2 linked regions of the Bombyx mori genome follow. The protein of the gene in region 1 purifies or fractionates together with the protein of each later gene. This does not show direct contact. Links are inferred from orthologs where the notes say so. Each region holds a gene or a part of one and is shown on either strand. Other genes may lie near its edges.

The links. The genes of interacting proteins can lie anywhere in the genome.
Region 2: the proteins of unconventional myosin-Va (region 1) and nonmuscle myosin essential light chain purify together in Drosophila melanogaster (affinity purification with mass spectrometry; 3 studies listed by BioGRID, with this or other methods). This does not show direct contact. The link is inferred for Bombyx mori from reciprocal best matches to the Drosophila melanogaster genes didum and Mlc-c.

The regions. Positions count from the first base shown.
Region 1 is NC_085108.1:6,143,222-6,147,805, reverse strand, and holds part of unconventional myosin-Va, read right to left. Parts: coding exon 4,459-4,584; intron 3,616-4,458; coding exon 3,479-3,615; intron 3,376-3,478; coding exon 3,177-3,375; intron 2,010-3,176; coding exon 1,777-2,009; intron 201-1,776; coding exon 22-200; intron 1-21.
Region 2 is NC_085118.1:17,553,334-17,558,570, reverse strand, and holds the start of nonmuscle myosin essential light chain, read right to left. Parts: upstream 3,178-5,237; 5' UTR 2,964-3,177; coding exon 2,961-2,963; intron 2,889-2,960; exon of another isoform or gene 2,888-2,888; coding exon 2,860-2,887; exon of another isoform or gene 2,593-2,859; coding exon of another isoform or gene 2,544-2,592; intron 2,455-2,543; coding exon 2,273-2,454; intron 663-2,272; coding exon 516-662; intron 426-515; coding exon 342-425; 3' UTR 1-341.

The DNA.
Region 1 (4,584 bases):
TGTCACTGCTGCGTCACTGACCTGAGCTGGTTGACGGCCCGCGCGGAGTCGAACAGGAAGGGCGTCTTGGAGTCGTTGGGCTTGATGCAGCGCACGTAGTGGGGCGTGGTGCGGGACAGCGTCAGCATCAGCGCCGACAGCGACGCGCGGAACTGCCCGCCCACCGTCTGCCGCGCGCCGGACGCGCGCCGCCCTGGTTGCTGGACCGACATTTTTTTTTTAATTATTGTTGGATTATTGTTTTTTTTAAGGGATCTTATGACCTGGTAACTATGACCTTTAAGTCAAGTCTTTAATTTTAATGATTTTTTTTATATGAAAAATAATATTATGAAATGAAATGAAGTTGGTTAATATGAAACATGACATGAAATGAAAAGAAAATAAAATAAAATGAGATGAGATGATATTGGATGAAATATAATCTCAGTAAAATGGTGGTCATTTACTGAGATTTTTTCAGTGGACTTTTTGGAGGTTCCCGAGAAGTTACGTCCAAGCGGCTTTGTTTCATTTTCCCACATTCGCGCACTTTCACAGATACTAAACAGTTAATAAACCACCGTTATTACACATTTAAATCTGAACAAACACCAAATAGACAAAATAAAACAAATCACACAACTTCACACCTCGCGTTCCCGCCAAAAAGTCCTGAAGGTTTACTGGTGGCCCGGAGCATAGACAATATACATAAATTAGTTATAAATAAGCAAATCAAGCACTCAAGAAAAATGATTACGGGCGTCGGCCACTAGATAGCTTCGCTTCGATTAGTTTCTCATTGCTCCTGTAGACGGCAATAACATATTACCTATCCTATGTTTTATTTTTAATGAAGGATTTTGTAAATTTTCAGAAACCACTAATTAAGACCGCCTTTCCAGTTTCACCAGGACAGGTGGGCGAGCAAGGGACTTAGCCAGAAGGGGTGGGATTTGCTAACAGCTGCTCGAGCGCCTCCGAAGGAGATCTAACAACTCAAGAGCAATTGCTCCGCGAATGAATCTACTACCAGATCGGAAACGCGACCCACTGAGAAGATCCGGCGAGAAACTCAGCGGACTGATGCATGGGTTAAGTTGCACATCGAACTCTTTGTAGAGATCGACGAGTACGGTTATCGGGGTCCCTAAGCCTGCTCCTAGTGTTGAGAGTTGTAGAGCTGAAGGGGTCTTATGCAAAAAATCTGTGTAAAAAAATCTATTACATTACAAAAATCCACAAACCACCAGGTTAGGTACCACCACGCTTTTTTTTAACGAATAAAAAAAAAAACTGCCGCGAGGTCATGTAATCCGGTTACATGGGTGGGGCGGGGCATCTATGTACTATCAAACTTGGACTTATTTCTCAAGGTGATGTCCATGGACATTGTATTGTTGATGTCCATGGACTCCAGTAACCATTTAGCCACGGCGGGACCATGACCCCGTATACCTATTTAAGCAATAAAAATAAATAATAGTTTAAAAAAACTGGGTGCTTTTCAGGATATTATCAAAATAACCCTTCTACTCATATTTGTTCATAAAATATTTATAACTACTGATGATACCATGCACTCCACGCTTTTTTTTACAATAAAATCATTTTTCCTTACACTATTTTTAATTCAAATTTATTTTCTATTTTTGAGTTGGATTTTCTATACGTTGGATTTTCGAGTTAATCCGACGTTTTGAAGGGGCTCAAAATCATGTTCAAAGATTGCGCTACACACTAACATACATACGTCTGAAGCTAATAAAAGCGTATCAATAAAATAGCACGTACAGTTAGACTCGTTATCGGCACGGAGGGCGTGGTCCTCCTCCGGGAGGGCGGCGGCAGGGTCGCGGTCTGACGGTCTACCGCGCGCTCCGACTCCAGCATGACGTGTATGAGGCGGCAGCTGGTGGCTGTCCTGATGCACTCCAGCTGTTCCTCCGACACTGTGTCACGATTCTTCTCAAGGAAACCGCCGGACTGGTACTCCACGTTGTCAGCGAAATGCTTTATTATGAAGGCTGTCGGAAGAATCCTGTTCATTTCTCATGATTGAGGGTTTTTAGTCTATAGGAGCGCCTACCGACTAATCTATACATATAAATAAAATTGGATTGTCTGTTAGTAATATTGATATTGATATGAATATATATACGGTACATACACCAAGATAGCATTTTTTTTAATTTTTAATCAGGTAATCTCTGGAACGGCTGGACCGATTTTGACGGGACTTTCACTGACAGGTAGCCGATGATATAAGGAGTAACTTAGGCTTTACTTTTTTTAGACTAGCTTCGCCCCGCGGCGTCACCCGCGGTACAACGGGACATAACATCGCGGGACTCGGCTATCAATAATAAAATTTAATGTTTCCAAAGCGAAGCGAGGGCAGGTCGCTAGTTCAAAATAAATAAGGTTGTCTATCAAAAAGAGAATGCCCTAATATCATGATGTCTATGGACTCTGCTATACATTTGACACTACAAATCGCGGACCCAATCAATACAAGTCTACAGCTTAGAAAGAGCAATCGCATCGCTCTTAGACTTTGAGCATCGTTAATTATTTGTACGCCTTACATTGCGTGTTTACATTGTAGTACGCATTTCAGATGTTTGACTTCTGGAACGGATTGTATACTAAAATGATTAATTTCTAACAATACAAAGCATCAACCTCGTCGTCGTCGTATAGAAGTCGTCGTGGCCCAAAGGATAAGACGTCCGGTGCATTCGTATCTAGCGATGCACCGGTGTTCGAATCCCACAGGCGGGCACAAATTTTTCTAATAAAATATATACATACGTACTTAACAAATGCTCACGATTGACTTCCACGGTGAAGGAATAACATCGTGTGTAATAAAAATCAAACCCGCAAATTTATAATTTGCATAATTACTGGTGGTAGAGGACCTTTTGTGAGTCCGCGCGGGTAGGTACCACCACCGCCCTACCTATTTCTGTCGTGAAGCAGTAATGCGTTTCGGTTTGAAGGGCAGGGGCTGCCGTTGTAACTATACTTGAGATCTTAGAACTTATATCTCAAGGTGGGTGGCGCATTTACGTTGTAGATGTCTATGGGCTCCAGTAACCACTTAACACCAGGTGGGCTGTGAGCTCGTCCACCCATCTAAGCCATAAAAATAAAATAAAAAAACATGCCAGCTACAAACTCGGACCCACCCTGGTTCCCGAACCTCGGCTTCATGAAGTGCGGGTAGGCGGCGCACTTCTGGTGCAGCTTGGCCACGAAGCCGGTGTCGGAGCCCTGCGGCACGCGGCACTCCTCGTCGAGCAGCGCCAGGACACCCAGACGGTCCTCGATCAGGTCTATGCACGGCTGGTTGTCGTAGAAGTCAATCATCTCCCACGAGATCTCTTCCTAAAAGATTCGAGACTTTTAACTTCTTTAGATGGGCAGACACGCGCTGCGACCAGCACCGACCCGACCTAGTCCTGTAGAACTTGGATCCACGACAACTTACCTTTATATATTCGTCCTGCTCGAGTTTGAACACGTGCGAGTTGAACTGCTGCTGGAGCTTCTCGTTCGCGTAGTTGATGCAGAACTGTTCGAACGAGTTGATTTCGAAGGTCTCGAAGCCGTAGATGTCGAGGACGCCTGGAGACGGAGAAAAAAAATACCGAATACGGTTCAGAGCACGGGACTGACGTGATGTGGGATTCCCTTGGACACAGCCCACTGAGTTTCTCGCTGGATCTTCTCAGTTGGTCACGATTGCGATCCGGTAGTAGATTCAATGAATTCTAGCTTAGAGAGTGAGTGATCAAACCGCCTAAACGGGGCGGAAGAGTATCAGAATAGGTGCCACGTGCAGACTTGACTCGACACTTTGAGCTCGTCCACACATCTAAGCAATAAAAAAAAAAAAAAAAAAAGACTGAACTGTTGTCAGATCAGGTGTTTCCCGAGCGCTATGACATGTCCTTCTTCAAACGAGGCTTGTGGAGAGTATTAAGCGGTAGGCAGCGGCTTGGCTCTGCCCCTGGCATTGCTGAAGTCCATGGGCGACGGTAACCACTCACCATCAGGTGGGCCGTATGCCCGTCTGCCTACAAAGGCAATAAAAAAAAAAAAAAAAAAGATCCTGCGTTTTTTCCCTATCTATTCGCTGGTAGCCTAAGCGGACATTCCAGCTACGCTCTGGCTTGTAGACGATCTCAACTGGATCAACCTGAGAGAATTTGCTAGTACCAGCCCTAGCAAGAGCGGTGCTTCGCTGAATCTACTACCGGATCTTCTCAGTTGGTCACGATTGCGATCGCTCTCCAAGCTAGGGATGGCTAGACTAGTGGTACCTATACTATTGGTGTCTGGATTAGTGGTGAGTGGACTAGTGGTGGGTGGACTAGTGGTGGGTGGACCAGTGCTGGGAGGACCAGTGCTGGGAGGACCTTTGGTGGTTGGACCAGTGGAGGGTGGACCAGTGATGGGTGGACTCACCGATGAAGTGTTTCTTGGCGTGTCCGGTGTCGAGCGCGCGGTTGACTGCGGTGACGAGCCACGCGAACAGCTCCCCGTACAGCTTCTTGGCGAGCGCGTCCCGGGCGCACGCCGCGCGCTGCACGT
Region 2 (5,237 bases), on another chromosome or scaffold:
CAATAAAAAGGCTTATTTTGGGATTCACACTGCCATTGCAGCACTAAACTAATGGAATAACATTCAAGAATGATTCACATAACCTACACCTAATTGATAAATGCATACAAGTTTAGTTGTGGTTCACACAGCGCCTACAATTTTCTGAGATATTCTTAATATTCTACTATCACTTACTTATATTTGTTCACTATAAGTTTACATTTATGTAGCCAAATAAGAATGTTTAAGTATATTTTAATAAATTTTTGTTAACAGTGTCCCATTATGGCTCTAACTGTATGGTTACAGACTTGGTTAGTTTACAGATAAAAGTGCTGCAGCAGATGATGACCTAGAACTCAGCCCTGCATGATGAGGTGAACAAAGTTCTCATAGTTGATATTTCCCTGAGAGTCTTCTTGTCCCTGCAGGAGTTGCTCTACCTGCAAAAATAAATATGTAAGCCTTTTAGATCATATTATATTTATACAAATCAGTAGATTGTTCAATGATTCAAGTATGTAAGAAATAACCTCATCATCACTGAGCTTCTCTCCGAGAGTAGAGAGCAGGTGTCGCAGTTCCGCAGAAGAGATGAACCCATTGCCATCTTTGTCAAAATGGCGCAGACCCTCAATAAAGTCATTAGCAGTGTCGCCACTGCGTGCTTTCGATATGGCCTACAATCACAGAAACAGAAAGGAAATTATTTACAGTTCAAAATAATCTTGGTACATTGTGTAATTTCTTATAAAATATTTCAAAAACTGGACTGGATTGAAATTTAGTAATTTTATTACTAGCAATTTTATTACTATTTTAGAAGTCGTCGTGGCCTAACGGATAGGACGTCCGATGCATTCGTGTTGAGCGATGCACCGATGTTCGAATCTCAGGCGGGTCCAATTTTTCTAATGAAATATGTACTCAACAAATGTTCACGATTGACTTCCACAGTGAAGGAATAACATCGTGTAATTAAAAATGAAACCCGCAAAATTATAATTTGCGTAATTACTGGTAGTAGGACCTCTTGTGAGTCCGCACGGGTGGGTACCACCGCCCTGCCTATTTCTGCCGTGATGGAGTAATGCGTTTCGGTTTGAAGGGTGGGGCAGCCGTTGTAACTATACTGAGACCTTAGAACTTATATCTCAAGGTGGATGGCCCATTTACGTTGTGGATGTCTATGGACTCCAGTAACAACTTAACACCAGGTGGGCTGTGAGCTCGTCCACCCATCTAAGCAAATAAAAAAATAAAAACATTTTACTGTAGCACAACATGGTACAGAATGTACATACATATATTTAAATACATTAACAATATCTATATCATTACATTTTTTTATAAAACACTACTCCCAATTAAGCATTTTAAAGGTTTACTGTCTTTAGAGAAGCAACTGAGTCTCAGTAGTAGTTTAATAGAGAACAACATTGCTTAAAAATTGTCTGGGTGGTAGTGTGAAGCAGTAATTATGTAAGTAAATAAATAATGCACATTGTTATTTATTTTGTCTTGAAAATGCTCTGAGGAGTGGGGATCTGGCATAATCATTGGCATCATTCAATGTGAGTATAATGAGGAACATGTTCATTAGGGCAGGTGCAGATGGCCAACAATTGTTGTTGTTAGATAATTATCTAATTTAGCATAGCATTATAGCACTGTAATTGTCTTTACGAAAAATATTTATTCTTAAGTTTTCTGTGATATAGCATTTTAGTATAATATGAACTTATGAAGACAAATGTTACAAACAACTAGTCTATGAACTTACAGTAATCCCTATAACACAGTACTCGTAAGGTGACATTTGTATACTACTTCTGTACTATGAAATTTATTATGATTTGTATAGTTCATAATTAATTTTCTGTATCTTTACACATTGTGTCAATGGTGCTGTTATAAAATTAAATAATTTTATGATATTTGTTTGACTGAAAAGTATAGAAATAATGAGAAATGTCAAATGTGAATCATTAGTACATAACATATTTTCAAGGGTCATAGAAGTATGTTTTACCAGAGGACTCCTAAAACTCATTTTCCTACAATGCAGAACCAACAAAAAGAGAAGAGAACAAACTTTAGAATTATATTAGGTGAACAAACAATATGGTTACAAAAACAACTTATGGTTGGAAAAAACGAATTTGCCATTACTTTTCAGATTCTTTGTGAAATATACTATATATGTTTTAAAGTATCAAAACTAACAACATTTTGAATACAGTTAAAAGCCTTATATTAGGTAAATACTTAGCTTTTTTCATATATGTACCTGGTAAATTGGCAGAAACACCTCAAAAGATATCCTTTCATCAGGTTTAAGATGAAGAGTACATTTTTTCACATCTGACTCTGTAGGATTTTGTCCTAAAGCTCTTAACGCATCTCCGATCTGAGCGACATGTATCTTTCCATCTCCACGAGAATCGAAGAGCTGGAAGGCTTCTTGAAATTCTAAAACCAAACAATAAAAAAACTTTATTTGAAAGTAATACTAACAAGGGCTAAGGGACTGCGTTACAGATGTTTATATATATTTATACCATCAACTGATGTGAGTTTAAGTTTAGAAGGTGCCTCGTACATGAACATGTTGCGACGCGCGAAACTATACTGCCGTAGCGAAGGTTACCTCAGTGAACACCTGCTAGCTGTTAAACACAAAACCTTATAAGGTAAGTAGGGCGCTTGCAGCGACCGCCGGTTTTTGTAAGGATGTTGATTGACGTGAGTCACGGAACCACGCCCTCCGCGGTTGCTGTTCTACACTGACACTTACACAAAGCACGGTTCACCACCTCTGTTTCTCGTTTTTCACTATTCATTTAAACTAATTGCGGAGTGCAAATAGTGACCCACCTGCCAATTGATCCTCTGAATATCCAGCCTGAAAACATATTTTCAGTGGTTATTGAAAAACATTCAAAGGAATGGAACAATCGTGACATTTACCTACTTACCATATTATGAATCTACAAATGAAATTGAAGGTAATGAAATAGGTATATTTAAAGGCTGCGACTTATCGAAGAGCAACAAAATATAGGCTTTTTTTTGATGATGTCGACGATTATCTAGTTTAAGTGCATTATCTATGTCAACGATGATGGACCACAGATATAAACACATGCGCAACGCAACACTAGGAACGTCGAAAAAAAATACGATAAATCGATATTTTTAAGCTAAATGTCATGTTTCGATTTATCGGTTAAAATTCAAGTACCGAGAAGGTATATACGGTAATACAAATATTTTATTATAGATTCCTTCATATCAGATTTCTCGAGGCGTAGACTTTAAAATTACTCCTACGGCGTTCTCGCGTTTTTTTATGTTATTATATTAGGATAGAAGACTTTACAGTTTTCGTGACGGAAGTCAATCGTCCTTGATCGTGAAATGCAATTTTGTTAGAATAATAAACGAAAACTAAAGGTATTTTATTTTGAAACAATAAATAAATTATCGTTATTCTTAAGTTCAAATGATTATTAGTTTGAAATAATAAAAAAGTCTGTTATGTAATTGGTATTTCTTTAGTATTGTTTTTGAATGCTATTTTTTTCTTTCACGCTACACGGATATATTGATATAGTATTCACCAAAAATGTTAATATGAAAAGAACGTTTACAAAAAAAATCGATTCAAATCTAGCGATACTTTTCGTCTTCTACGTTCCTATTTTTATCCCAACACACTTTGTCATTTTTGTTGGATTTTTGAAGATCTTTTCAAATTAGCCTGTGAAAATCGATGGTCACACATAGTCCTTAGACACAAAACTAGACAAGAAAGTCTTTTTTTAGCTTAGTACATAGTAGTAGCTTTTAAAAATATTATCTCAGACCAACATTTTATGAACAAAAGGCAATGAGGTACAGTAACGCTAGGTATCCTAATATATATTTATAAGGACTATCAAAATTTTATTCCTCTGTTATAAAAAAAATGTGTGCGTGTACTAGTGTACACACGTAAGAAGTGAAACTTATTTATGGCCTTATTTTTCGAAAAATGATCTACATGCAACTTTCTAGAAATTGGTTAAATAAAGTTAAATTAGATAAAGTTTAAACAAAAGGATTTTATTATCATAGACATGAATACAAAAAAGTTAAATTAGATAAAGTTTAAACAAAAGGATTTTATTATCATAGACATGAATACAAAACAGATGGCGCGTAACGGAAAAATGTGACGCGTAACCGAAAAACGTGACGGTAAATTTTTTTCCAACGCCGATAAGGAAGTTTCACTTCAATAAATTACACTCTCTATGTATATTATTAATAACGGAAATGGTTTTCGTTAGAAATCGCATCACTAGAGAACCTAAGTTCGTCAATTTGGTGTTATGAAGGATAGAACTAAGGAGCGCACTCTTGTCTAATGCCGGCCACTGACATGCGCGCAAATATTCGTACATTGTACGAATGTTTGCGCGCATGTGAAGGGCCGTCAAACATTCATTCGAAAACCTAGCGGCTGTGCAAATGGGTTCGCATACTCAATTTGGGAACCCGTTTGCGCTTCCTCCTACACTTGTTTACGAAGTCTCACGAATTTCTCCTCCTTTTTAATTCGTCAATAGAACATTGAAGAGAAAAAGAGTTTTTAATTCTTTCCCAGACATCATTAACAGCCATGCTGTTTTTATGGGATTTCTTTTGATGAAGATACGTTACACAGTAGACGTCACGAACTATGAAAATGGCGTATAGTATACGTCCGTTACCTTCGCAATTGTCGGGGCAACTGGGCAAGCGAATGTGTGGGAGACTACGCGAAGGTTCGAGGTTCGCGCGCTTTGATGTCTGTTAAAAAACCGACACAGCTTGGAAAACCACGAATGCAGCGGAAACTTTGCATAATCATTCGCAAATGTCGTCCTACACTTGTGGGTTTGCGTATTCGTGCGCAAGTGAGTGACCGGTGTAAGGAACAAGTTTTTTATTTTATTTTTATTGCCTTTGTAGGCAGACGAGTATACGGCCCACCTGATGGTGAGTGGTTACCGTCGCCCATGGGCTTCAGCAATGCCAGGGGCAGAGCCAAGCCGCTGCCTACTGCTTAATACTCTCCACAAGCCTCGTTTGAAGAAGGACATGTCATAGCGCTCGGAAACACCGTGGAGGGGAGCTCATTCCATAGCCGGATCGTACGTGGCAAAAAAGATCTCTGGAAACGCACTGTGGATGACCGCAGTGGCTCCGGGTAGTATGGATGAACTCTA